2 linked regions of the Kluyveromyces lactis genome follow. The protein of the gene in region 1 interacts with the protein of each later gene in a pairwise test. Links are inferred from orthologs where the notes say so. Each region holds a gene or a part of one and is shown on either strand. Other genes may lie near its edges. The genes, in order: MSB2 and OPY2.

The links.
Region 2: the proteins of MSB2 (region 1) and OPY2 interact in binary tests that used the Saccharomyces cerevisiae proteins (3 or more experiments, as listed by UniProt). The link is inferred for Kluyveromyces lactis from reciprocal best matches to the Saccharomyces cerevisiae genes MSB2 and OPY2.

Annotation. Positions count from the first base shown.
Region 1 is NC_006039.1:1,596,174-1,600,109, reverse strand, and holds MSB2 (Msb2p), read left to right. Parts: upstream 1-1,063; coding exon 1,064-3,790; downstream 3,791-3,936. Other genes in the region: SNU71 (Snu71p), read left to right, coding at 1-142. UniProt on the Saccharomyces cerevisiae protein: Plasma membrane signaling mucin that promotes activation of the MAPK for the filamentous growth pathway. Partially redundant with the SHO1 osmosensing branch for the activation of STE11.
Region 2 is NC_006038.1:796,260-799,579, forward strand, and holds OPY2 (Opy2p), read left to right. Parts: upstream 1-1,508; coding exon 1,509-2,750; downstream 2,751-3,320. Other genes in the region: KLLA0_B09108g (uncharacterized protein), read right to left, coding at 1-72.

The sequences.
Region 1 (3,936 bases):
CGAGCCCGACTTAGTCTCATATATCTTTGAAAACATCGAAGAACATCAATCGAAACAGGCACTCGAGACTGAGCTTACAGAGACGTTCGACGAAGATAGCCCTGTCCTAGTGAGCCGTATATGGGAAGCGATGGAACAGTAGTGGAATATACCATACATGTGAATATACATATATATGTATATGTAGGTATGTGTGTCACATGTCTAATAATGAGATTCTATTACCCGGTTACGTCTCACGTGACTGTCACGAAATTTTTTCGCCCGATTCGAGTGTTCCAGCCAGATCGGGCGGTAACATGAGGTTACTAGAGGTCCGGGTAATCGTGTTTCATATTGATTCGCGTTTTGTATATCGTATATAGCGATACATTCTCAACTTCACCAATTTTTTACCAGATCCAGAACGGTTACAGGAAGAATTGGCAGGATGAGATAAACAAAGGAACAAACATAGAGATTCTATTACTTGTAACTTATGTACACACCTGATAATGGTGGAATTTAGTTTCTGTTTTCGTTCGGGTTGCTTTAGGCAAAAGATAATAAGTTTTTAGATTCGAGATTTATCGTCAGGGTCAAACTTTTCAACAAAGAACGTTACCAGTGGTAATATTTTGGTGTATACATCTTTCTTTTCTTTGTGTTCCTCCATTCATTCATTTATTGATTCATCTCAAATTACTTATAAGTTTTTTATACATTTGATAAGAAGGATCTATTAGAGGTTTTTAATAAAGAAAGATTATCAGAACTGACCTACTGATCCAAATTACCTTCCAATCCTCAGTCTTTAGGAAACTGCCATCGTTTGTTTAGTGAGCTTATACTTTGAACGTGACAAGAGCTTCAGGCAGGTTGAAGTGTACTATCGATCTCTGTTTTTTTTTTCCCCGTCCCATTGTTTGGTGATATAAAATTATTACTTATTATTACGGATTGCCGGTTTGTCATTAGAAAACTTTGAGAATCTCAGGTTTGAACTAAGGCCTTCGGCAAAACTTTGATTACTTTTCCAACTATTTTACATTCTTTTTTCATTTGATTTCATTCGCTTAACACGATGCAATTTTCCAATTTAAGGTTTTTGTTAACCGTTATATTCTTGGGCAACTTTTTAGTATCTGCCCAAGGATTCCTGGATTTTTTCCAGACTTCTCGTTCTGATAACTCTACTAGATCCATTCAGAGTACCGAGACCAGTTCCAGCACTGAGAGCAGTTGGAAAACTACTTTGAATTACGATTCATTGACAGTGGCAGAACCATCCACGTTCTCGCTTTCTTCAAGCACGCACTCTAAGAGTCGTACGAGAAATGGTAATGGCGATGATGATTCGAGTAGTACTTCAGGTACCACTTCTGTGTTGACTCCTTCATCGATCACCTCTTCTGCGATCTCACGTTCTACCAGTGGAAATGGTATCCCATCTTCTGAATACTCGGCTTCCTCCTCGAGCACTGCAAGCGATTCTGCTAGTGTAACTACTCTATCCGGTTCCTCCGCTCTTTCTTCTGAGACTACCTCTTTTGGGACTTCTTCAGCTGAAGATTCTTTTGTTACGACAACTGTTACTGAAACAGGTTCTGCTGAAAGCAGTAGTGATACAGCTTCCTACATCACCGATTCTGCTTCTCAGGTTTCTTCTTCATCAGTCCTCTCGTCCGTGGAATCCTCTTCTACTGAACCATCCACTTTTTCTGTTGTAACATCATCAATTGAGCCTTCTTCAACTGAACAAATTACTTCTGATGAAACGTCCTCAAGTGATGGTGGATATTTCGTTACAACTTTCACTTTCCCTCCTGTTACTTCTTCAACTGAATATTCCACTTCTGATGAAACGTCCTCAAGTGATGGTGGATATTTCGTTACAACTTTCACTTTCCCTCCTGTTACTTCTTCTACAGCATCTGACGAATCTATCCCATCATCAACTACCGATGAATCCACTGGTATTCAATTCCCCACTTCGCGGTCCACAGATGTTTCTTCGACTACTGATGAATCAACTGGAATTTACTTCCCTACCTCAAAATCAACAGAAGTTCCTATATCCACTACTGAGTCCACTGATAATGATTTCTCCACTACAGAATCAACAGAAGTTCCTATTACCACCACTGATGAATCAACAAGAATTTCTCTCTCCACTACAGAATCGACCGAAATTCCTACCACTACGGAAGAACCAACTCCTTCTACTACAAGTGCCGACATCGTGGAACCAACTACCACTGAAATTCCATTAAGCACTACTAGTTTGGAACCTCTACCAGAAAGCAGTACCTCAGAATCTATTCCAGAGCCTTCAACCAGTACTATCCTCACGGAGGAAACATCATCATTGCCAATTGAAACTTTATCGACTTCTGAACCATGGGCTACTGATGACATTCAAATCTCTTCATCAGTGTTACCTCCATCTCAAGATGTTGTCTCATCAGAAACAGTGGTTAGTACATCTGCTCCATCAACAGATACTGAGACATTGGCTCCAACAAGTGCTACTACATCACTTCCAAGCATTGTTACCAAACCAATTGAAGAACCATCATCAAGTACAAGCCAGGTTGGAAGCACTTCCGTAGTTTCTACCGTTGAACCAGTTGTTTCACTACCTTCCACTACTACAGAGCAGCCAGTGTCCACAACACAACAAGTTTGGTTGCCTACTACCATGGTAGCAGAATTCGAAACATCTGGTACTCAATCTACATCTACCACATCTTCAAAGATCGCTACTGAAACATTGCCTCAAGCTATTACAGCTGCCACTGAAATTGTGCAACCTGCAGGATATACGCTAATTACCGTTGGATTCAAGAAGGAGTTGAATTATCCATTTACTGTCAACAATCCCGTTTCTAACGCTCAAATTTTTGAATTTTTGCCAAAGGTTTTGAACTATCCCTTCAATGGGGCCCAAAAATTCGATAATACTTCAGTTTTGGAGTTAGTTCCATTAAAGGTTACAAGTTTAGATTACCTTGTCACTGTTGCAAAAGTATATTTCCCAGAAGATTCTGTCTCGACTCTTCAAGCGCAGATTTTGAACTCTTCCAGTGTCATTTACAATAACGATGTAACAGCATTAAAACAGCTTTCATCGTACATTGATGCCTCTATTCCACTAACTGGTCTTGTCAGTTCAGATTCTGGTTCCTTAATTTCGTCAGATTCTGACTCTGGATCTGACTCTGACTCTGATTCTAGCTCTAACTCTGACTCTGACTCTGGCTCTGGCGGATCTGACTCGACTAAAGAGAAGTCGAGCAGCGGCAGTGCAATTAACTTGGGTTCCTTAGACGATCAAAACTACAACCCAGGATCAAGCAACTATTCCTCTAGTAGTTCAAGCAAATCTTCTACAGGTACGAACGGGAAGACCATCGGAATTCTGGTTGGTTCCATTGTCGGTGGTTTCTTGATAGCCTTGGTTTGCATCTGCTTACTTGCAGTGAGAATTAGAAACAAGAAGAAGCAACTTCAAGCTAATCCAAATCTAGATGACCAACATTCTTACGACAGTTATGATTACGAATCTTCGTTCGATTTTAATCCAGTTGTTGAAAAAGGTAACGTTATGAACGACGACCAGGTGTCAATCAGCCCAAGTGCTAAGATTAATAACTGGATTGATTATAACACTTACAGCGATTACCCTGAAGATGCTGCTTCTGTCGCAAATAATGGGGAAAAACAACCTCAACTTTCAACAAAGACATCTAGTTTGAAAATTTCGAAACCAATTGCCACAGAAAACTCATTAGGTTGGAATGACTTGTAATGGTAAAATTTGATTCACCGATCTTGTATTCTGTTCTTGCTTTTTTCTCCACTAAATGATACCCACGAGAGGGTTGCTAAAATGGTGCTCGACCATTTGCAACACCGCTTTGCTCTATTTTTTACCGATTACGTCCAATAAAGTCA
Region 2 (3,320 bases), on another chromosome or scaffold:
AGCGGCTTTTCTAACCACTTCTTTATCGAATGGTAATTGACCTTCTTTCAATGGTGTACTATCAATTTTCATAGTTTATTTGTCCTTGAGGTATTTGCTCGGTTGATTGGTTGAGCCGTCCGACGTTTTTACTTGCTTAAGATCAACTGATTCATCTTTCAGTTAAACTTTGGAATTTTTTATTTTTCTGTGCTTAACGTGGAACAGAATGGCTCATATTAAAGAATGCAAGCGAATACGGCACATAAAACATCTAACTAGCGGGATTTAGTCTCTTATAAGTTATTAATCTACGGTTCAAGATTGAATCCAGGAAGATGATACCCTTTATACTTATATAGTATCACAAAAACATGAATTAGCTCAAGATATCAATTGATTTCTTCGTTTAAATTAGAATGACAGAAAGTACTTTAATGTCCCGCAGCCGCGATCAGGTACAGATATGTATTGGGACTGTATCGTGAACCCGTTGACTATTTCTGTGTTAACTCTGTGTACGCTTGTAACCTTTTAAGTTGAAGGGGAGGGGAGGCACAAGTGACAGATAATCTGAGTTGCATAACGTATTACCCGGTTGCACCGAGTTACTTTCAAACAAAACTGAAAAGTTTATACACACGTGACACAGAATTCAGGAATCCAAGCTCGAGAATTTGAAAACATTCAGGATCTGATCCGCTCACTCTTTTCTTTTGGAAAATCGCCAAAAGGAAAAGGAAAAGGAAAGACGACTGGCTAGCTTAGAACGGGAAGTACCAAGAGCCATGTATTCAGCCAGAACGTGCAATGAATATGATAGCTAGCTGGATTTTCCAGTGAACGGTATGTGCTAATTGCAATGAAGGTGGTATTGGGTAAGTGAGAGGCCTTTACAAATGAGGAATTTCACGTACTACGGAAGCGGTGAAGTATTTTTCTTGGGCAATGTAAAACAACGTTCAAAGAATTTAGAATTCCGCACGTTGAAACGCTGACGCGATCCAAAAATATAATAGTTTAAAAAGAATCTGAATGGGGTTGTTTCTTGCCTCAGAGGCCTGTGTATTCTATTCCAAAAAAAAAAAATCAGTCGTTTTATAAATTCTGGAGTTGGCCCAATTACAGGCATACATTACAATATAGAATAAAGAGCAGTTTCAATAAATCCATTAGTCAATCAGTTAAAAACTTTTGGTTCACTTTCAGTCTTCTCTTCGAGTTTTGTATTTTCGGTTTTTTTTTTTGGTTCTTCCATAGACAGCGAAAAATCAAAGATTCCATACAGATATCATACTGAACTACTTCCAAAATCTGTTGTATCTGACAAGGAACCACAAGGTCTTTCCACCATCCACCCTTACCGCTAGCTCTTTCTCTATTGTCAAGATAAACAGGGCCATTCCCGGTTTAATATTGTCTGTTGACTTTATATTCATTCTGCTCATCGCGTTCTTTCAGCAGCAGAGCTATTCACCATAGAAGTGATACTGAAATATAGTTTTGGCGATCTAGTACCGGCTTGAAAAATGTCGGAAAGCGTATCCAGTACTGTAAGCAGCAGTGTGTCAAGCACAGCTTCAAGTTCTAGCACTAGTACTGCAAGCTCCGGAACTTCGTTGCAAGATGGTTGTGTCACTTGTGATAACAATGTAACGTGCCCGGAATGTGATGATGATGAGTACTGTGTCACAACATCATTAACGTGCACACAATGCCCAAGAACCTATTGTCAGAAGAAGGCATCTTCAAGCAGTAGTAGTGCATCATCATCATCGTCTGCGGCTGCTATTTCTAGCGGAGCGTCTTCTTCGTCGTCCTCTTCCAGCAATAAGGTCGGACCTATTGTTGGTGGTGTCGTCGGTGGTGTCGCATTCGTAGTCATAGTCGTGGTGTTGGGCTTCTTGTATTACAGATATTATAAAAGAAAACGGTCTGCATTGCCCCAGGATCCCGAATATATGGAAAAAGGTACGAGTCTTGATCCAAACGGATCATCACCGCTTCATCCAGGCATGCTTCGTGTTGGCTCTTCGTCATCACGCGTCAGAGAAAGGAACAAGAGAAATAGAAGTAGCGCTGCCACCGTTCAGACCAGTACCGCATCAAATATCATCCCTGTAGCATATATCCCAGGTGTCACCACGAATCTAACGAAGAAGAATTTGAGGAAAGGCCAAGGAAGAGGTTCAAGAAGATTTTACCAGGATTCAGATCGAAAGTCACATATTACATTGGGGTCCAGTATTCTTGGCGGTGATGAAGATGACGACGACGAGCTCCAACAGAACTTACAAGATTTGAACGAGGAAGAAAGCGGTTCATTTGCAGGGAATAATAATAATGGTGCGGGTGCCACGAATAATATGACTACTGCAATCCGAGCTAGACCGAAATTGGTTCAAATCGATGAAACTGCTGAGGAAGATGAAGATGAAAATGCGAATCATGGAGTAGATCAAGAAGCTGAAGAAGACATCGAAACAGAGGCTAACGAAACGGGCAATACCGATAATCCATCACATTTCAGAGAGACGAATGTTCAAGACAACTCAATTGGTCATGCAGGACACGGCAATGAATCTCAACAGCAACAGGAAGAAGAACAAGGACAAGGGCAACAAGGAGATATACGACACTATAGAAATAGTATGGACTCCTCCAATTCGGACTCACGTGATCCGTTCCATACCACCGTGCATTCATCATCTGACTCAAACAGCGAGGGATCATTCATCTTGGACGTGGAAATGGCAAGTAATCACCATTAAACATGACTACCACTTTCCCTTCCCCACTAATCTTTGGTAACACACCAGTTGTACAATTTTAGATACAGTATGTAATAAGACCTGTTATATCGGGCTAATTCTTGTCAGGAGCACCTGCGTCCTTCGGTATATATGCGAGCCTTTTCCCCCAACAAGCCCCGCAATATACCATAAATCAACGATGCTCTATAAGTTTCCAAATAGAATGTAGGATCTACTGAACCCTGCATGTATATGTCACTCGATCATGTCACAATCTGACTACTTAAAAGAACGTCTCTTAATACGCAATTTTCACTGCCAACATGATTTCCAAACGATATTTGCCAACGAACCAAGAATTATCGGTCCAACTTCGAAAATACTACCTATCCACAGTGTTTTTATATATCTAAGCTATGCTACCCTGGGCTACCCTAGGCTACCCTACCTATATGCTTCCCGTCCGATCTTCGATTAACTCTTAAATCACAATTGCTCACCCAAACATCACATCAGCTTATGCCAAGGGTACAGGCCCTCCACAGTAACCGGAATAACTTACGTCGAACCAAAAAAAGAGGCTAACCC